Elephas maximus indicus: one gene and its partners. The protein of the gene in region 3 interacts with the protein of the main gene of each other region in a biochemical or structural test. Links are inferred from orthologs where the notes say so. Each region holds a gene or a part of one and is shown on either strand. Other genes may lie near its edges. The genes, in order: TNFSF13B, TNFSF13 and TNFRSF13B.

The links.
Region 1: the proteins of TNFRSF13B (region 3) and TNFSF13B form a complex in vitro, tested with the Homo sapiens proteins (3 studies listed by BioGRID and IntAct, with this or other methods). The link is inferred for Elephas maximus indicus from reciprocal best matches to the Homo sapiens genes TNFRSF13B and TNFSF13B.
Region 2: the proteins of TNFRSF13B (region 3) and TNFSF13 form a complex in vitro, tested with the Homo sapiens proteins (2 studies listed by BioGRID and IntAct). The link is inferred for Elephas maximus indicus from reciprocal best matches to the Homo sapiens genes TNFRSF13B and TNFSF13.

The regions. Positions count from the first base shown.
Region 1 is NC_064841.1:73,993,782-74,000,833, reverse strand, and holds the start of TNFSF13B (tumor necrosis factor ligand superfamily member 13B), read right to left. Parts: upstream 3,091-7,052; 5' UTR 2,901-3,090; coding exon 2,550-2,900; intron 2,452-2,549; coding exon 2,364-2,451; intron 1-2,363. UniProt on the Homo sapiens protein: Cytokine that binds to TNFRSF13B/TACI and TNFRSF17/BCMA. TNFSF13/APRIL binds to the same 2 receptors. Together, they form a 2 ligands -2 receptors pathway involved in the stimulation of B- and T-cell function and the regulation of humoral immunity.
Region 2 is NC_064837.1:13,215,113-13,222,387, forward strand, and holds TNFSF13 (tumor necrosis factor ligand superfamily member 13), read right to left. Parts: upstream 3,024-7,275; 5' UTR 2,686-3,023; coding exon 2,437-2,685; intron 2,095-2,436; coding exon 2,016-2,094; intron 1,891-2,015; coding exon 1,843-1,890; intron 1,706-1,842; coding exon 1,587-1,705; intron 1,396-1,586; coding exon 1,257-1,395; intron 1,024-1,256; coding exon 914-1,023; 3' UTR 900-913; exon of another isoform or gene 748-899; 3' UTR 133-747; downstream 1-132. Other genes in the region: TNFSF12 (tumor necrosis factor ligand superfamily member 12), read right to left, coding at 4,263-4,514, 4,715-4,839. UniProt on the Homo sapiens protein: Cytokine that binds to TNFRSF13B/TACI and to TNFRSF17/BCMA. Plays a role in the regulation of tumor cell growth. May be involved in monocyte/macrophage-mediated immunological processes.
Region 3 is NC_064820.1:215,783,498-215,790,742, reverse strand, and holds the start of TNFRSF13B (tumor necrosis factor receptor superfamily member 13B), read right to left. Parts: upstream 3,096-7,245; 5' UTR 3,063-3,095; coding exon 3,002-3,062; intron 1-3,001. UniProt on the Homo sapiens protein: Receptor for TNFSF13/APRIL and TNFSF13B/TALL1/BAFF/BLYS that binds both ligands with similar high affinity. Mediates calcineurin-dependent activation of NF-AT, as well as activation of NF-kappa-B and AP-1.

The DNA of each region.
Region 1 (7,052 bases), on a different chromosome or scaffold from region 3:
AAGAAATGCAGAAGTTAACAGCCAGAATGGCATGACACTCCAAAATAAATGCCAGAAGGGCTAATGAGTTAAAAATCAAATAATAAAAAAGCCAGAGGAGAAAATATTAGTAGGACAGACTATTTAAGAGATCACAAAAGAATATTTTTAGCTTTAATGTCTCAGAGGAAATATTTACACCAAATTTTTGATAAACAATACGTCTAATATATAAATAGTTCATTCAAAACTGTAAAACATTAAGCCAGACAAATGGGGGAAGTTATAAAATCTGCAGAAGACAAAATTTGAAGTAATTAAAATATGTGGAAGGAAGTTCATTTTTGTTAGTAAGCAAACAAGTTAAAACAAATTTCAGATACTGTCGTACAACCACTAAACCAGAGAAAATAACTTTTAAAAGATAAAAATCTAGAAAGCATGTACAGAAAGCAGTGGATTAATTTGCTGTTACTTGCATTTACGACTCTTTTTGAAAGCAATGTGGCAATAGCTTGCAAGGGTGGTAAAGATCTTCATTCCCTGCAGCTCAGAAATTCCACGGTACCGAATTTATATTGAACATATAATTCTCAGAAGCATAATATATCTGCATAAAAATTTTAACATGTTCTGTCATAATAAAAAAATAAAAACAACCAGCATAACAACAACCAAAAAAAAAAAAAAAAAACCACTGCTGTTAAGTCGATTCTGACTCTAAAAAAATAAAAATAAAAACAACCATAGTAATAGTAGAATAAAAAATAAATTAATGTACATGTATGAGAATCACTTAGACATAGGGAAAAGTCCTATTGTATGATGATAAGTGAAAACAAAAAACATAAAACAGTATATATACATTATTATTTTTAACTTTGTAGAAAATATAGACGATAAAATATGAAAATAATTGACCTGTTAAAGTCACAACAGTGTCTGTGTTTCCTAGTTTAAAAGTGCTTAAATCCAAGTGTTAACTGATAATTGGCACAAAGGTATGATAATTAGGTACATAATGTTTTGATTTTATAAAATAAGGGAGAAATTTTTTCATGAGCAAGTCATAGAGTAAAAGAAGAAATAGATTTATAGTCAAAGCACTGTGTGTATGTGTGGGTGGGTGGGTGTGTGGGTGGGTGGGTGGGTGGGTGAGTGGGTGGATGGCTATGTAATAAAGAGTCCTTCCCTAGTCTACCACTGACTAGGTCTCTCACACACATTTCCTCACAAGAAAAAAAAGTAAATAAATAATTACATGTGTTTTGTTTACCCCACACAGTCACTGCGAGGGTTAAATGAAATAGTATGGGTGAAAACACCTCTTCTAATGCCTGCACATTCTAGGTGCACACACACACAAACACACACACACAAAAAACGTTCTTTCAACATCAAAGAGAGGTAATATCAGGGATTTGTTAACTTCCTAAATTGTAATATTAATACAATCCAGTACTCTTCCTTAACCTAGGAAGTAAAGGAACTAGGACTGATCACTTTAGTACTCCCTCCTGACTCTGAGATTTTATAAATCTATAAATCCTGTGGAACATAAAGAAAGACAAAAATCACAAAAGAACTATCACAAGAAAAGTATAAATGCATGCTCTCGGAAGGGCATACCTTAACAAAATGTTTTAAAATCAGTGTATATATACATATATGGAAGCCCTGGTGGCATAGTGGTTAAGTGCTATGGCTACTAACCAAGAGGTCAGCAGTTCGAATCCACCAAGCACTCCTTGGAAACTCTATGGAGCAGGTCTACTCTGTCCTATAGGGTCTCTATGAGTTGGAATCGACTCGACAGCAGTGGGTTTATATATATACCCACACACACAATATATAGGTACATATAATGTATATGTATACATGTATATATATAAATGTTTTAAAAATGAGAAACAAAATTAAAGCACAGACATACACGGCCTCCCACTGTATAACCTTCACCTGCTTTCAAATAGTACCCCTCAGGAAATGTTTGCCTTTAACAGAATGACTCAGGTAAACAAAACATAATTCTAAAGTGACATGAAGTGGAGAGATTTTATTTTTGGAGGGATGGGCGATGCTTCTGGCATAGGGGTGTAGTGTCTGTTTGAGGAAACTCTGCGTTCCTTGTTTTCTCCTCTGTGCTTCAAGTACAGCTCGGATAAATACTTCTGTAGACAAAACTCTGCTCATTGGAAGACAGAACACGCCGTGCACCCTATTAAATCTGCCCTTGCTAGGGCTTTGCTATCAAGCCGAGTCTGGTTTTAACAGAAATTGCATAGTCTCTATTTAAGAGGCTTGGAGAGATTAAGCACACCCCTGTACCCCCAAATCTGATGTTAACACCTAAACCAGTAAACGCATCTGTCCCCAAAACCTACCTGTTTCTTCTGGAGTCTGAACAGCACGCTTGCTCCTGCTGCTTTGACTGGAGTTGCTGTCTCCTGGGGCTGGTGGTGCAAAGATCTCCTATTGACAGAAAAACCCCAAGTTATTGAAAAGACGTCTGAGGTCAGGGAGAGGCAGCTGTGTAGGAAGATTTGGGGCTGCAGCTGCTGGTAACTCACTTGCAGTCCGGGGGTGTCAGCTGGAGTTTCCCTCAAAGCTGCCGTGGGGGCTCCTGCTTCTGCTTTGGGGGGTGCTGGCAGTTGCTCAGCTTGGTAGAACTGCAGTTTCGCCCGGAGGCTCAGCAGCTCTGCTTGCAGGGTGGCCACTCGGTAGAAAGACACCACTGTCAGGCAGGAGGAGAGCAGGGCCAGCAGCAAGGTCACTGACAGGAGCTTTCCGTCTTTAGAGAACCAAGCAGAGGGGCTTTCCTTGTGAGGGAGGATGGGAACACACTCCTTAAGTTTCATTTCTTCTCTTTTCGCAAGGCAAGAAGAAAGGAGTAACTGCTCCCTGTCTGTGCAGTCATCCATTTCGCTACTTGAGCTTTGAAGGTTAGGGCCTTCAGAGTAAGTGACCACAGGGAATGGATCATTTCCTGTTATCTGTGTTTGTTGATGTCCTACATTTAACACATCACAGAGCTTGACTCCCCCAAGCAGGAGAGTTCTCCTGAGTTTTCTTCTTTCTTCCCTTCTGCATCTCTGCCCCTACGGTACAATAGGTTTTACTGGCATTCACCCTTCTAATGGATTGCTCAATCAGTCTTCCTCATTTCAGTTTCAGTTTTTGTAAGAATTTTATTGGCATCTCAGAACACTCATACACAAACGGGCCCCTAAATCTACCAGCTAAACTTTGAGTTTGGATTGGGATATGCAAGAGATAACTTGTCAGATTATACACATGCTTAAGAAGCTCACCCCGGGCATTATGAGAGAACTGTGTTGGTTGGGGCCATGTGGCTTTGGAAGGAAGAGGAAAAATATCATAAAATGTTCCTGCTGGCGTAATAAAAGCAATTAATGTGAAGGTCAGATAAGCTAAGTGCTTGAGCAGTGGCTTGTCCTTACATGGGGTTATGGATTTATTAACAGTTGTCCACTACGAAGTAAAATGAAGGACCCTTGAAAGAGGAAAGAAAACCAGCTGGGTATTGTTCTGTTCTTCTTATTATAACAATGTAATCCAAAGAATGTGACTAACAAATTTTAGAAACCGATTTAGATTAGATGTGAGGGGGAATGCATTTTTAAAGGAAACCTACATATATATATATATTTTTTCCTTCTAAGGCTCCCTGGCTAGGTGATCAATGATCCATGCAATCTGACCTCCTGATAGGTCTCCTTCCACCTCTGCTTCGCAAGTTTCAAGTCCCAGCTCAGTCTGATACTGTTTTAAGATGAAGCTGGCCTTATCTCCAATTCCCAGTAGCTCAATGCCACCCTTACAATTCTTTCCTTAAAGTACACTAAAAAAATTAGCTACTAAAAAAAAACACTCAAACCAAACACATTGCTGTCGAGCACATTCCGACTCATTATCTACTAGGTACACGTCGTATTGACTCTGGCCCAATCTAACGCACATGAAAACGGTCCCGACTCAAACAAGAGACACTTTCCTTTCAAACTCACCTTATTGTCAGACATGGTGACGCTGCCCAAGACTATTGCGCCCATTCCAGTCCTGCCTTGTCTTGATCTCTGTTCCCTGTCCATTTCCCAGTTTCTGGCTGTTCTGTCCTCAGCACCTAATATTGATTCATCACTCAACAAATATCATTGAGCCCTTACCAAGCCCTGGGGTAGGCACTACCCCCCTGTATGCTAAGACCGCTAAGCCTTAACTCTATCTCATTCGCATTTCTATGCTGTTGTGAAGAAAAGAAAATTAATGTAGGGAAGGATTCGGATCCCTGAATCCAGGGTTCTAATCTTGGCTCTACCACTTATTCACCTTAGGCAAATTAAACGTTTTTGTGATTAAGCTTCCTCATCTGTAAAATCAGATAATAATGGTCACTCTCTCTTGGGATTGTAACTTAGGCACGGACAGCATTGAGGATGCAAAAACCTTTTCATTCATTTTTACTTCTTACTTTCAAAATATAAATGTAATATTTTTATTACAAATACTGCTGTAATAGGCATTTTTATATATGTCTCCTTGTAACATTTGAAAGAATTTCCAAAATAAATCCCTGATGTAGGGGAAACAAGGGCACCGGTGGTGCAGTGGTAAAGCACTCAGCTGCTGATTGAAATGTTGGTGGTTTGAGCCCACCAGTTGCTTTGTGGGAGACAGTTGTGTCAGTCTGCTCCCATAAAGATTACAGCCTTGGCCGTGGGGACCACAGTCTCAGGGAACATCTAGCTCAATTGGCATGGCATCGTTTATAAAGAAAATGTTCTACATTCTGCCTTGGTGAGTAGCGTCTGGGGTCTCAAAAGCCTGTGTGTGGCTACCTAGGATACTCCAATGGTCTCACCTCTTCGAGAGCAAGGAATAATGAAGAAAACTAAAGATACAAGGGAAAGATTAGTCCAAAGGACTAATGGGCCACATACATCTACCACAGCCTCCACCAGATTGAGTCCAGTGCAACGAGATGGGTGCCTGGCTACCACCACTGACTGCTCTAATGGGGATCACAATAGAGGGTCACAGACAGAGGTGGAGAAAAATCCAGAACAAAATTCTAACTCGGTAAGAAAAGACCAGACTTGCTGGCCTGACAGAGACTGGAGAAGCCCTGAGAGTATGGTCCCCAGGCACTCTTTCAGCTCAGTAATGAAGTCACTCCTGAGCTTCACCCTTCAGCCAAAGATTGGGCAGGCCCATAAAATAAAAGGAGACTAAAGGGGCACACCAGTCCAGAGGCAAGAGCTAGAAGGCAGGAAAGAACAGAAAAGCTGGTAATAGGGAACCCAACGTTGAGAAGGGAGAGTGTTGACAGGTCATGGGGTTGTTAACCAATGTCATAAAACAATGTGTGTACTACCTGTTTAATGAGAAACTAGTTTGTTCTGTAAACCTTCATCTAAAGTACGATAAAAAAAAAAAAATTACAGCCTTGGAAATCCTACGGGGCAATCCTACTCTGTCCTATAGGGTCCCTATGAGTCAGAAACTACTGGACGACAATGGGTTTGGTCAGGTTCAGGTGGGGTAAGCACACTTTCAGTCTTACCAATTTTCTCCAAGTTACCCTCCAATGTTTTCCCATTTCCTAGCTACCCTACTCTTGCACGATGTCATCAGACTTATTAGTTTTTACCTGTCTATTGGCATTGTTACTTATTCCCTTGGCTTCCACAAGTTCCAGAGATCTTGTTACTAACTTGGTGCCCCAAATAAGCTGTTCTCTAATTGTTCAGGTAGAAGTCTTCTTTTATCAGTATGTAAACTTTTTGGAGTCAGACATCACATAAAACAATTCTTTTGTCACAGTTCTTGTTTCTAGGTTAATCAGGGTGAGGCATATTGGATAACATTGTAATTAAAAAATAGAATTCATTTGAGCATTTTATTACACACTTCTGACTTGACACTCATTCAGGTTGTATTTATAAAACTCATTGCCGTCGAGTGGATTCTGACTTATGGCGACCCTATAGGACGGAGTTGAATTGCCGCATAGAGTTTCCAAGGAGCGCCTGGTAGATTTGAACTGCTGACCTTTTGGTTAGCAGTTGTAGCTCTTAACCGCTACGCTATCAGGTTTTCCATATATGTATAAATGCATATATATATATGTATATATACATACGTGTGTGTATATATATATATACACATACACATATATACATACGGAAGCCCTGGTGGCGCAGCGGTTAAGAACTTAGCTGTTAACCAAAAGGTCAGCAGCTCAGATCCACCAGCTGCTCCTTGGAAACTCTATGGGGTGGTTCTACACTGTCCTATAGGCTTGCTATGAGTTGAAATTGACTCGACAGCAACGGATTTGGGTTTATATATATATATATATGTATGTCTATATATCCACACGCATATAGATGGATACATATAGAACCAAAACTAGAAATGAATTCAGGATTCAAGGCAGTAACAGAAACCAGTTACTCTCTACTTTCCACTCATAAGCCATTGAGCCATTGTTTTTCTCTGTGAGTGGGTGCTCTCCCACTTCTGCCTGGCCAATCCTCTCCAGTAAAATTCTGAAGGAAAGTGAATTAATTTAATTGTATTAGAAAACTATGTTGCCCTCTTTTGCTCAATTTGGCAAATATCTTCCTGTGAAACCAACTCAAGAGAGGGCCATTGGCTGGCGTATGTTCAGGCCATTTTAAAACAAGTGCTTGGTTCAAGCAGTGGGCAGTTCTGCTCAAAGAATAGGCCAGTGCTCCTCTGATGGGAAGACGGCTGTGAAGCTCCCCCCTGAAGCAGACACTGGCAAGCTTGCCCTACAGTTTGCATGTCCTCTACAAAGATCACGCCATTAAATTTTCTCTAAAAGCAGTCAGAAAACTAAGGGGGCATTCATGCTCTCTTAAATTTCTCATTAGACAAACGAAAGGAAGCTATTACTCCCTGAATCAAGGAACCGCTTCCTGTAGGGGAAATGGTTTGATAATAATTTAACTGAAATTCTGTTAAACCAACAGTATATTCATATTCATTGAATAACACACCGCAAGTTTATTCTCAGAGAAAAGGCT
Region 2 (7,275 bases), on a different chromosome or scaffold from region 3:
GGGTTCTGATCCTGGGGGCCCCCAATACCTTCGTCCAGTAGGGCGCGCGAGAGGAAAGTTGGGAGGACAGGGAAATGCCGGTACAGGAATAGGACTGAGGCGAGGCAGTGGGGGAAATGAATCCGGGGTATCTATCATTCATTGTCTTTTATTTAACTTTGAGCAAGGCTTGAGCAGAAAGAACCGCTCCGAGGAGTAAGGCAAGACCAGCACCCGGCCGTGCGATCCATCCAGGGCTCCCCAGGGACCCACCCTAGGCCAAAGGGGCTTGGAGTGGCCTGTCACGCCAAGGGAGTGGAGAGCATGAAAGCTAAAATTTGGGACCCGAAAAGTAATGTGGCTGCGAAGGGACCGTCGTCGGGTACCCCCAGCAAAGGAGTGCATAAGAAATGCACCTCTGGAGATAGGGATGGAAACTGATGCTCAGTAGATGGAGAGGAGAAAGTGTATGGAACGTAGTAGCCGGTAGTGTAAGGACGAGGCTTCTTACGGTGCGAAGAGGCAGGATACCTCGAAAGGGGTGTGGCATAGGGCACCAGGGGCTTTCCTAAGTGTTGGGAGAGAGGCTTCGTGGACCTCTACCAACAGGCAGGATGATTCCCTCAAACTGCCGCTAGATGGTGGTGCCGTTCCGGAAGCATCCAGTGAGACCCATAGCAGGTCAGGACAATGATTGACCCCTTTCCCCCCTGGACGGGGCATAAAAGCAAGATCTTCTAGCTCTTTAATATCCAAGAAATCATAGGCCTGGGAGTGGGGAAGGAAGGAAAAGGGAGGACCGGAGAGTCATGAAGTCACAGTCAGGAAAAGGCCTCTGTTCCTGCTCATTCCCAGTCCTCTGGTCAGCTCTTGGTTATCTCCAGCATATACCCACCCTGGTCTTCCAAGCTCAGACCCACCTTTCATAACACAATCATAGTTTCACAAGCCCCAGGAAGGTGCCATGTGGAGAGAGGCTAAGTTTGGCCCTTGCCCGGGGGATTATGACACTCAGAATATCCCCTTGGTATAAATGGAAGACACCTAAGAAAGGGGAGAAAAATGATGCTCAGTGAGGCACAGCCATCGTTCCATGTGGTCTGATGTCTCCCCCTCCCTTCTGCAGCTCCACCTTTCCTCTGCTTCCTGCAAGAACCTCACAACTGCCTCTCCACCTAGGGCTCCCACCCCAATCATAGAGCCCTGCATCAGTCCCACTAGATCAGAGACCTGTCCCGCTCTCCTCTCATCCACTCCCCTGCCTGCATGCTTCTCACCTGCACTGTAGCAGCTATTGTAGGCCCGGGCAGGGTTGGAGGGCATACTTCGTACACATCGGAATAGAGTCTCCTCCCTTCCCTGGCCCTCCCGAGATACCACCTGACCCATGGTGAAAGTCACATCGTGGAACAGGACCTGGTAGGGCAGGGAGGAGATAAAACGGAATGGCATGGCCCAGGTCTAGGAGGTCTCAGGAGCCCTGAGGCAAGGAATGAAGAACGGTCTTCTAAGCTTGGAATGGACAAAGGGACCGGGCCATCCAGGCTGTGGGAGAACAGGGAAGAGACCTCCGGATCCCCAGGTGAGGTACAGGGTATGCCAGTTACCTGGCTATAGAGCAGATAAATTCCAGCCTCCCAGACTCGGACCACATATCCGCGGGCCTCCAGGCCTCTACCACGCCTGAGAGCTGGTTGCCACATCACCTCTGTCACATCAGAGTCCTCTGGAGGTGAGAAGTGTGGCAGTCAGGGTTTCTGTGCAGTCTCAGACACTTGATGGATTCACTTGGACCCAGATGCCAGCCCCAAATCCCCCAGTTCCTGCCTCTCCCGCAAAGCCATTATTTAAAACAGTGCTCACCCTTGGAGGTGATGTTAACGGGAACAAGGTGCAGGACTGAGTGCTTCTCTGAGGAGAGAAGAAGAAATCTCAGCAGGGCCCACTTACCCCTGCTGCCCTATTCTCATTCTCCCCTCTCCCCATTCCATGCTGCTTGATCACCTCCCACCCCTGCGGCACCCCTGGGGCCTCACTCCTCTGTTTTGGGGTGAGCACTGCTCTCCTCCTCCGAGATTGCTCCCCATTCTCCCAGGCTTCCAGGACCTCAGGGCTCTGTTCATGGAAAGAGGGTCAGGGTTAGACAAAGATGCAAGGGTCCCAGCCAGCCTTCCTTCCAGCCCTCCCTCCCACCCCACGAATGCCTCACTTCTTTCATGCACCTTTCCCCAGCACCCTAAGTCTTGGTGCTGGCTGTCCTCCAGGATCTGTTAGGTATGAGAACCATTAATCTTTAACAGTTTCCTTTCCTGGAATGGCCACTCCCTTGACTTCCAGACCCGGGACCCTCTCTTACACCCTCTTGTAGCTTTGCAGACCAGGAGACAGGACTGAAGAAGCCCGGAAACCCTCTGCCACCCATCTTTCTCTCCCAGACACCCTTCTCCCCTCACTCACCTGCTCCCAGAGGCTCTGCCAGGCCTGCCCATCCCCCTTCCGGGAGGGTCCTCCGGTCCTCTGCAGCCGGCTCACCTCTCTCCTTAGGGTTTGCAGCTCTGCTTGTTGCATCATTAGAGCCATGGCGCAAGCCACAGCCCCCAGAGCTGCCCCCCAACTCAACCAGAGGGCAACTGAGAGTGCCGGGTCTCGAGCTGGGCCGCCCGTGTCGCCCCGGGGGGCTACTGAGGAAGGAGACGAGGCCAGCATGAGCTGGGGATACTGCTGACAGCCGTGGCCTCAGAAGTGGGGTGGCAGGGAGGTGACAGCGAGGATGGGGGTGCGGGCACCGGTGCAGAAGGGAAGAAGGGTGTTACGCAAAGGAGAAATAAAAACAACGTGAGGATAAAAAGAGGGAAGAGGAAAGCAAGCTAGGGGTACTGTCTGGTACGCCTGGCACCCCTCTGTGGGGCCAGTGTTGCCTCTCAGACCCCTATCCCCCTCCCCCAGCCTGAGGAGAATCTGGAGTGGGTCTCTCTCGGAAGGACAGGGCTGCCAGTGACACCCAGGGGGAGCGGCCTGAGCGCAGGAGCCCGGGGCGGCCCCAGAAGTGGGGGAGGGAGGGCTGGCGGCTCTGGGGCATGGTGCCAGGAGGAGGGATGGAGGGACAAGTTGGCAGTGTTGAGGGTCAGGGGCGAGGACAGTAGACCATCTGGCTAAGGTGTGGGGGAGATCTCTGGGGAAGTTTCTACAGGTGACTGAGGTGGGGCAGGAGGGGTATGGGTGGGTGGGGAGGAGAACCAGGGTCGCGAAAGCCAGAGACTGGCTGAGCCCTGGGGTTAAGGCCGGGCCGGGTGTGTTGGAATAAGGCCTGTACTGCTCCCTGTGCTGAACTTGGCAAGCAAGAGACTTCCTGTTTCCTGAGAAAAACTCTTACATAATGCTATGGATGAAAAGAGAAAGAGAAACAGACAGGCACAAGCACTCCAGCCACTGTAGGCTTCCTCTCTGGACCCAGGGTCCGTGTGCCTGTGTCCTGGGCCCCCTTCAGGCCTGCTCCCACCCCAAATCCCAGCCAGGACCTTCGCCAGCTTCTGCCAAAGGTCCCCAGATGGCCAAGAGGAAGGGCCCTGCTCCTCCCAGCCAGGGATTCCCCCGCAGGAGGAAGCCCGCCTCCTAGGCAAATGAGGCCAGTTTGGCAGCACCTTGGCATAGAGTGATTTCTTCCTAGGCGGTTGGCCTTTCTTCTTCTGGCTCAAGCCTCAGGGCAGGAGGCATGTAGGCCCCGAAGTCCAGACCGCTTCCCATGGTCTTCGGCTACCCTTAGAATACCCCCCCAAGGCCCCAATAAAGAGAGAGACTATGACTTATTTTCTTTAATATCCATTTATCAACATTTTGTCACAATAATAATAAAATAATATCTGTTCTAAAAATCCACAGGGACACATCAAGGTGGAGCTGGTCTTGGTCTCCTACTCCTCACATTTGGGGACACCTGGCCTTGTCCCAGTCGCTTCGGTTTCCTGCCACCAGGTCCAGCCCCGATTAGTGCCTGAAGAGGGGTCCTCTGGACCCATCTTTGCCCAGAGAGTACAGTAAACACAGTGTCCTGGGGGCCGTGGTCAGGGTGGGAGTCAGGAGATAAATGGGGGAGTAGAAAGGCCAGGGCTTTGTGAGGTGGAGAGCCCGAGACTGTAAGGGAAGAATGGGGCTATGTATGTGGGATGGCAACAAGTGAACAAGCCCGAGGCCTCCAGAGGGAGGAGGTCTGGAGTGAGGAGCAGTTTGGGGCTGGAGTGCTGTGGGGAGCCAGCAGCCTGGGAGAACTTTGAGACCAGAGCCCCTCAGTGAATTTGGAAGAGTCCGAAGTAGGTGAGGAAAGGGGCAGCCTTGAGATGGGCCCTGGGGAGGGTGCGGATCCGAAGAGAGGACCCTGGCCGCAGGGGCAACAGCCCAGACACCTGGCAGAGGCGCAGCTGGGGCCCAAGGGAGCTGGCCGCGGTGGCGGAGAACTCCTCCAGGCAGCGCAGGGCCAGGGCCTCATCAACCAGCAAGTCCAGCTTCAGGTAGACAGCCTTTCCCTCATCAAAGTGCACCTGGGGCAGGGGGAGGGCAGGCAGAGTCCAGGCCTTTGCTTGCCCTCAGCTCAGTTTCAAATTTCCTGAGAGACCCAGGTAGCCCATCCCCGCCTCCAGCCCCAAGCTCTCCCTCTCCAGCCTCTAGCTTACCCCCCCTCTCCGGAACCAAACCTTCTCCCTCATTTACTGCTTTGGCCATGGAGCCAGGTGGGGCTTACCTGACAGTACAGGTAGTAGAGCCCAGCCCGAGTGACTCTGAATTCCCCACGCTGCCGGTCATAGCGCAGCGGGTTGGAGCTGTTGATTTTGGCCTCCTCCCAGCCACTCACCGTCCCGTCCACACCTGAACATCGATGTTCAGAGATGAGGAAAGCTCCCCCACACTCCCCAGGGATCCGCTGACTCTATAAACATTTGGGGCCCACTTTACCCAGAAGATAAAAAGATCACCCAGGGCAAAAGGAGGAGCCAATTCCCATGGAGCCCAAAGTATAATAGTTCTGTGTAGAAATCTAACGTGTGTATGATTGAACATGCAGACGAAAGGACCGGAAAGATACAGAACAAGTTACCGTCAGTGGTCACTTCTGGGGAGAAGAGTAGGATTGAAGAAGAGGGGGGACTTTTATAGTTAATACTTGACTTTTATATTTTACCTCATCTATGTCTACATTGCTTGCCTTTTTACCTTGAAATTATATTCATACGTTATTTGAATTATTAGAATTACAAATAAAATGACACAGAAATGTCTGCCACTGATGAATGGATAAATGAAATGTCAAAAACTCATACAGTGGAAAACAGTATTATTCATCCATAAAAAGGAATAAAGTACTGGCACACGCTACAAACGTGGGTAAACCTTGAAAACAATATGCTGAGTGAAAGAGGCCAGTCACAAAAAGCCACGTTGTATGATTTCATCTGTACGAAATGCCCACAGTAGGTAATTTCCTAAAGACAGAAAGTAGGCCTGGGGTAGGGAGGAATAGGGGAATTGGACGGTGATAGCTAAAGGGTAAAAACCAAACCAGCTGCGTCAAGTCAATTCTGACTCATGGCGACCCCATGTGTGTCAGAGTAGAACTGCACTCCATAGGGTTTTCAATGGCTGTGATCTTTCAGAAGTAGATTGTCAGACATTTCTTCTGAGGTGCCTCTGGGATGATTTGAACCGCCAACCTTTAGGTTAGTAACCAAGCACTTAACCATCTGCACCACCCAGGGACTCTAGCTAAAGGGTATGGGGATTGTTTTTGAGGTGAAGAAAATGTTCTAAAATTGATGGTGGTGATGGTTGCACAACTCTGTGACTATACTAAAAACTAAAACCCCTGAATTATACACTTAAAATAGGTGAACTGTGTGGGATATGAATTCTCTCTCAATAAAGCTCTCACCCAAAAAAAAAAAAAAAAAAAAAATCTAGAGCTAGGGTAATTGTAAATTACAAGAAAAGAAGTGCCTTCCCAGGTCTTCCATGGTCCACCCTTTTCAGCCTCTCCAGTTCAATCTCACACACTTCCCAATTCACGATAGCCCAGACACTCTGGCCGCCTTTCTGTACCTGCCAGACACCAAACCCATTCTCCCTAATGAGCTTCTTACTACTCTCCCCTCTCCCCACATCACTCTTCCCTGAGCTGGCACCTTCTATCCCTCACGTGTCAGCCGGTCTGAGACCTTCTGTGGCCACCAGTATAAAATAGCCAGGCCCACTCCTGCCTCCATTAATCTCTTCCCATCACCCTGTTTCAGCTCAGTCATCAACATCAGAAATTATTTCATTTATGTATGTGTTCAGTTGGGATGTGATTCCCCTACCAGGGCAGAGACAAAACCAAAAAACCAAACCCACTGCCATGAAGTCAATTCAGACTCATAGGGCAGGGACAACCTTGTCTTATTCACCACTGTCTACCCTAAGGCGCCAGGTAGGCACGCAGTAAACACTGCTAGGAACATGCTGGACATGGCCACAGCCTGTTCCCGGTTCTCCTTGGCTGGGCCTCAAGGAGTCTCTGCAGTTGCCTTCTCCAGCCCCTCTCCCTCTACCAGCCCCTGGGCTCTGTCCTTGACATGTTTTCAAGCCAGGTACTCTCACTGGACATTTTCATTCCCACCCATGGGTTTACCATGATCTACATCGTGCAGACTCCAGATGCCTAACTCCATTATTTCTTGTTCTTTCTCTTCCTGCTAATACCACCATTTGACTAGCCACGTTGTTGTTGCTATTAGGTGCCTTTGAGGCAGCTCTGACTCACAGAGACCCTATGTACAACAGGCTACATACAACTGACTAGCCATGGGCTCCTCAAACTCATCTGGACCCGAACTGAACTTGTCTCCTCCCCATCCCCCTCAAACTTGCTTTACTGTCTGTATTCCACTTCGAGCTCATAGTCTTCCACCCACCGGGTACCCAAGCCTCCTTCTCCTTTACCAACTTTATTCATTGATCTCCAGCTCCTATCAATCCTGCCCCCTACATAACTCTGCCCCATCCCCCCTGCCAGCCTGGTCCCTGCCATTTCTCACTGGGACTTCCTGTTTCCAACCTTACCTCCTCCTGGTTATTCCTTACACACAGTCAGAGTGATCTGAGCTGCTTCTCTTTGCTTTAATCCTTCGAATGGTTCACCTTAGATTAACTTCATATCCCACCTGTGACCTGGCTCCTGTCCTCTTCTCCAGCCTTATGCCCCATCCTGCCCTTCTAGCATTTTCTGCTTCAGCCACACAGAACTTTTCGCAGTCCTCCAGACTCTTGGTA
Region 3 (7,245 bases):
TGGCATTAAAAATGAATAGGTATTGATATAAGCCGCAGCATGACAAACTCCAAAAACCTTATGCTAAGTGAAAACGCTACATGTTGCATGATACCATTTCTATGAAATGTCCAGAATAGGCAAACCTATAGACACAGGAAGAGGATCAGTGGTTGCCCAGGGTTTCAGAGAGAAGAGCAAGAAGGAATGAAGAGTGACAAAGTTTCTTTTTAGGGTGACAAAAATATTCTAAAATTAGATATGACGATGGTTGCACAACTCTGTAAATATACTAAAAAACGTTGAATTGTACACTTGAAATAGAAGGACTTTATGGTATATAAGTGATATTTCAAAGCTGTTTATCCTAGGGGAGGCAGGAACCCGGCAGATAGAGGACAAGGAGGGAAGAAAGAGGTCATGGATTGAATTGCGTCCCCCAGAAATATGTGTAAAGTTGGTTAGGCCATGATTTCCAGTGTTGTGGGGTTATCCTCCATTTTGTGATTGTAATTTTATGTTAAAGAGGGTTAGGGTGGGATTGTTACACCCTTACTAAGGTCACGTCCCTGATCCAATGTAAACTGAGTTTCTCTAGGGTGTGGCCTGCATCACCTTTTATCTTACAAGAGATAAAAGGAAAGGGAAGCGAGCAGAGAGTGGAGGGACCTCGTGCCACCAAGAAAGAAGCACCAGGAGCAGAGTGCATCCTTTGGACCCAGGATTCCTGTGCGGAGAAGCTCCTAGTCCAGGGGGAGATTGATGACAAGAACCTTCCTCCAGAGTCAACAGAGAAAGCCTTCCCCTGGAGCTAACACCCTGAATTTAGACTTCTACTAGGCTTTGAGTGAATAAACTTTTGTTTGTTGAAGCCATCTGCTTGTGGTACTTCTGTTACAGCAGCACTAGATAACTAAGACAGGAGACTTTGATTATATGTCTTCTATACTTCAAATGGAAACCCTGGTGTTACTTCAAATGGAAACCCTGGTGGTGTAGTGGTTAAGTGCTATGGCTGCTAACCAAGGGCTCAGCAGTTCGAATGCGCTAGGCGCTCCTTGGAAACTCTATGGGGCAGTTCTACTCTTTTCTATAGGGTTGTTATGAGTCGGAATCAACTCAACGGCAGTGGGTTTGGTTTTTGGTATACTTCAAACGGAGCCCTGATGGTGCAGTGGTTAAGAGCTACAGCTGCTGACCAAAGGTCAGCAGTTCAAGTCCACCAGCCACTCCTTGGAAACCTATGGGGCAGTTTTTTTCTGTCCTATGGGGTTGCTGTGAGTCGGAATCGACTCAACAGCAAAGGGTGTGGGTATATATATATATATATATATATACATATATAAACACATACATATTTCAAACAGTGAGACTATACTCTCTATTAAAAAAGTAAATTTAAAAAACAAACGAAAGAAAAAAGAGATAGATCCCTGCTCCTTCCCCAATTTGAGTGGGGAAAAGGAGAGAGCTGTTGCCTATGCCCGACCCCAGTGCAAGCCCATGACTGGGTGGACAGCAGATTAGATGGGACAAACACAGCCTTAGCAAATTTTCCATTCATGGCCTAGAAGCCAACAAAGGCACCACCCACAGTGCCCGGATAACCAGAGGGTCCCAGTCCCGCTCCTTCTCCCACTGCCACCACCGGGGAACATGTAAAATCCCAGAAGCATATTGCAACCCCACAGACTAGCAAGAAAACCCCAAGACTGACCCCAGCCAAACAGAATGGAAGCTTGAGAAACAAATTCCATTGTTGTACCAGGAACAGAGAAAACTCTTTCTCGCACACCTGAGCCTGTGGCTGGTTCAGACTCCGGGCCACAGCCAGGACTCAGAAACAGGACAGATGCCTGAGATATGGGGATTGAGACTTGGCTGCACCAGTGAGGCCAGCGCAGCAAAGAGGGGGGATTCTCAGAGCACCTACCATGTTTCCTGAAGGGCCTTGGCTTGTTAACCAAAGAGCCCTGCTGTCACATTAGCTTAGAAAACCCCAGTTCAAGGAAGTCCAAGCATTTTTATTTGTTTGTTTACTACAGACCTCCTCAGAGCCTTTGCTATGGACTCTTCCAGAGGGGCCCTGGCAGATGCAAAGGACTTTTTTGATTTTGAGGAACATCTAGTGGGACAGGGGCTTATCTTTATTTTACAGTGGCGGGGAGGGGTTTGTCCGAGGTCTCACAGTGAGTCTGTGGGCAGCAGCCTTAGAAGCAAGTCTCCAGACTCTGGCCAAAGCTGACACTGCTGCTCCAGGCAGTCAGCATTCTGGCTGTCCCCTGAACCTGGGCCTGGACCCGGGCGATTTCATGCTGCGTCATCAGCAGTCTCTGGCCACTGTCTCTCTCAGAAATTTTCTATGTTTGAGCCCTTGCCTGGGTGCATGTCTGGGGGTGTGGTTGCTGAAGACAAAGGAGACTCAGAGAAAAGACAGGCTCCCGCCTGAGGAGAGGGGCCAGCAGCAGGGGCCAGGGCGTGCATGCTTGCTGCGAGGCCTGGGGCCCCTGACGGCCCCTCTGGGGCTAGGTCCCAACTGTGCCACGAAGGACTCAGACTTTCATCTGCTTTAGTGATTTATCCTTTGAATAAGCCTCTAAAACTCTCCATGGTAAAAATTCTACGGGATAAATGATTCATTGCTGAAGCTGGGTGAGGGGTGCGTGTAAATTTCAACACGAAAATAAAATATTCAAAAACTGCCCTGGCTCTTGATCCTCTGCATGGCTCAGAAGGGAGGGTCACAGTGGAAATTCCTGCCTCAATGACTGAGCCTCAAGCCTCGGCCCCCTCCTTACCTGGAATACAAGCCTCATACCTGCACCTTGAAGGCCCCCAAACTTGGGGCTGTCAGCATGCAGGGGCTTGGGGAGGCTCAGGGTTGCCCAAGCATCCCTGTGTGCTGTCCTTGCCACCGCCACCCATTGCTAACCCACACCTGGGCACTCCAGGCCCAGCCACCCTCCTCCCCCACAGCCCCTGCCTCCCAGACCCCAGCTGCAGGCCCTAGCAGGCTACTCACTTGGCTCCTCCTGGCCCGCCCCGCTCCGGACGCCGTGCCGGCTCCAGCCGAGGCCACTCATTACTCAGGATGTTTATTATTAGTCTTTGATTTGATTAGTGCCTGGGCTGTACTTCCTGGGTTTTCCCCGCAACCTACCAAATGTAAATCAGCACCTCTCCCTGCGCCTGCGTGCTCAGTCTCAGGAGCCAAGGTGGGTGGACATTGCCTCACACTCAGGGTTCCCATCAGGACGTCTGCTGGGCACCTACTGTGTGCTACCCACCAAGCAGGTAGAGAAATGAAGGCTGGCCTTCGCTTTGGGATGAAATACAAACCCTGGTACAGCTCCCACAACTCTCCAAACCCTGGCCCTTGCCCACTCATGGGCCTCACCTTTTGCCACCTACTATATTTTTATACATACCTCCGGAACCCTGGTGGCATAGTGGTTAAGTGCTATGGCTGCTAACCAAAGGGTCGGCAGTTCGAATCTACCAGGAGCTCCTTGGAAACTCTATGGGGCAGTTCTACTCTGTTCTCTAGGGTCGCTATGAGTTGGAATCGACTCGACGGCACTGGGTTTGGTTTTTTTTTATACATACCTCCAGCTCCAACAGGTTGAGTAGCTCTCTAGTCTCTGGGCATTTGCTCAGGCCCCTTCCTCTGCCTGGACCAACTTTTCCTATGGCATTGCCTGGCCAGCTCCTCCCCTGCTCCTTCTAGGCTCAGTTGAGGTATCACCTCCCCTGGGAAGCCCTCCCTGACTGCCCTGGGACACGTCAGATGCCCATTCTCTGATTGCTTAGCCCTACCCTTACCCCACCAAAGCACTTTCAAGGCTCAATACTAGAGTCTGAGACCTCGGTTGGAATCTTGGCCCTGTCCCCAACCCACTGGTGGCTTTGAGCAATTTGCTTAAACTCTGTGCTTCCATTTTCTCATAGGTTTATGAGGATGAAAGAGTTAGTACCATCAAGTTCTTAAAACCAGCTCTTGGCATACAGTGAGCTCTCAATAAACGATGATGAGGATTCATATACTGCAGCCCATGAGGCAGCGTACTGTGACTTTCTGTATATTTCTATGTCTTCCCAACTACTCTGAAACGCTCCCTCCCCCTATAGCAACGGCCAAGGCTGAAGTGCTAGGATTTGAAGCCAGGGAGCCCCAGGCAGTGAGGAAGAAATCTCAGAGGATGGGCAAGAGCCAGAGAGGTGGGGAGCAATGAGGGAAGTCCTCCCAGGAGCAGCTGGCTTGGAGCAGAGGTGGGGGAAGCAGGGCGGGACACAAGGCCAATTTGGATAGCAGGGAGCAGAGCAGGAGGGGAAGTACATTAACGTGCTCAACCTTGTCGATAATCAGAAAAATATAATTTAGGCAATAATGAAAAAACTATTTCTCGTCCATCGGGCTGGCAAAGTTTAAAGTCTGTCGACGTCAGGTGGTTGGGTGACACAGGAGTGGTGAACCCATGCACAGCTGGTGACAGAACAGGTCTGCATGCCATTTTGGAGGCTGGTTAAAACTCAGGTTGTGCTCACCCACCCGCAACCTTCTGTCCTCTATAAGCGCCCTGAGAAACGCCGCCCCTACACATGGACTTTCACTGGGGCATTGTTGGTAATAGTGGAAAACTGGGAACAATCTCAATGCCCACCCGGTAGAGGACGGCTAAAGAAGCTAGGTACACAGGTCATAGGAGGAATTCCACACGATTGTTTAAAAGGTGAAGTAGACCAGTGGAAGGGATATAAGAAGATCACCAGGACGTATCGTTGAGTGAAGAAAGGTAGCTATATAGCATGATACTTACAGCATAATGCCTTTTAGTAAACACACACACACACACAATGTGGCCATTGTGTGTTCTGTGACTACTTATGATGAATGCGATGTGGAGGAAGCAGTCTGGGAGGACACACAGGATGACAGTGGCCATTTTGGGTAGAGCAAGAAGGAGCTAGGATTGAAGGTGATGGTGAAAGGGACTTTAGCCTTGTTCTTAACCGTTTGATTTCTACCTGGAAAAGATACTCATGTTTTATTTGTGTCGTGAAAGTCATAAAAGCCACAGTGGATATATAAGCTGGACTGGTGGGATGGATTTGTGAGCAAGGGGTGGTGGTAGATCCATTGCCTGTTGGAACTGGATGAGCCCAGAGCATCTGCTGGTCCCTCCTTGGGCCCTCCTTACCTTCTGTTTGCATACCCCTAGGGTCGGGACTCTGCCCACCTCACAAAAAGCCAGCTCCCTGGGGGTTAGCTCTGCCTGTTAGAAAACTCCTGTCTGTGGAGCAGAAATATGCCTTCCAATCTCGGACTTACTGGGCTGATTGCTGCCTTTGACCCCACACAGATTGTGGGTCAATGTGATAGTGTTTGGGTGTTTTAGAGTTAGCATGTGTTAGCATGTGAAATGAAAAACAAGCAAAGTCCAGCTGGACTTTTAGGGTGGCTGAGAATTGAACGGTAGTTTCCCTAATGTCTCGTCGTCGATCACACCTTGCTGAAGTTCAAATGTGGTTTAGAGAGAATGGGTTTTATTTGCTTTTTATTTTCTCTAATTAGAGGTATAATTTACATGCAGCGAAGTGCCGGCATTGTAAGCGCACAGCTTTAGGAACCTTAGAGTCTGTGACACCAAGATGTGGGACGTTCGCAGGCCCAGAATGCTCCCTTGTCCCCCTTTCACCCACCCTAGACATAGCCACTCTCCTGCTTCACTCACCGTGGATTCACTTTGCCTGTTCCTGAGCTTCGTATAAACGGGGTCATACAACACGTCTGCTCCCCTTTTCCAGCTTCTTTCTCTTGATAATAGATTTTATTAGACCAGATGGATCAAAGCTGCGTGACTTTTTCAGACAAGTTGTTGAATCTCTGTGGGCCTCACTCTAAGACGAGCACTTTCTTCTGATGTGTCAAAGAGATCAAAGCAAAGCTCAAATAGGACAACCCAGAGGGGAGCACTTGTGGGCACCCTCCCATTGTCACACAAACATAAGGAATGATGACTATTGTTGTTCGAGGGATGCTCAGACCTCAGGTCTGATGAAAATAGATTCCTCTCTGCACCGGGCTCCCTCAGAACAGGTGCCAGAGGTTTCTGAACCTCATTCTGAATCTTCCAAACCTCATTCTGAAACCAACGTTTTCTGGGCTATCTCCCAGGGGGTACAGGTTCTAATTTTAAACTCCATGGTTGAGATGACAAAAGAGCTTTGGGACCCAGAGTAAAGATACCTGGTAGACCTCAAGATTTGGGAGCCGATCCATTGACGTATGTACTTAAATAGTTAAAATATGCACATGGTAAAAAAAAAAAAAATTAAACAGCATGAAAGCGAATGTAGTGAAAAGTATCTTTCTCTCCCCTCCAGGAATCCTAGCTTGCCATTTCCCAGCTCAGCAGCAACAGCTATTGGAAGATCTTTCTTGTTCACTCGCCTTTCCAGCCAAGCCCACACATTCTCAAATACGTGTATGTAACTTCTATGTTTTGCCTTCCCGCGACCATTTTACACAATTACCAGACTGAACACACTGTTTAGCACGCTTCTTTTCTCAGTATACCCTGCCAGTCAGTCCTTACTTTTTATAAGAGTTCTTAAAATGCAGGCATAGTAACGATAGGGAGCATTTGTGCAGCACTTATTATGTTCCAGGCACTGTTCCCAACACTTCCCATATGCTCCCGTAACATGTTTTTTATCTTCTTTGCATCTCACTGAATGGCTTGCATTCCTTGAGGTGGAATTACTTGGTCAAAGGGAATATTACATTTTAACCAATATTTCCCAATGAAATTGTTCATATTTACAAAAGAGGGTCTGCAATACTTGATCGAAGTGTCGTGGTCTTCTCGGAGGCAGCAGGGAGTGTTTTTCTCTCTTTCCCGCCCTCCTCCCATCTCTCCCGGGGCTTGCTGCCACCTCTGTGGCCTTTTTGAAGCCGTGCTGTTGAACCTGCTCTAATGGAGTACTACAGGTAGGACAAAAGCAAAAGTACCCAAAAAGGGCTATTTCTTAGAAATGCAGTGAAAGCCCTGATTTTCATGATTGAAATTTACATAAACGACTCATTTTTCTATAGTGAATTTCCTCCTTTGCTAATGTACCCGTCCCCTCGATGTGTACTAATTTCTCAGAAACACTAGATGCCATTAGCAAGACGCACTTCAAAGAGCGAACAGTGGTTTCTTTACAATAACAGCCTCAGCCTTTCGTGGGGAAGAGCTACTTTCTTATTTTCAAAAATTTCCC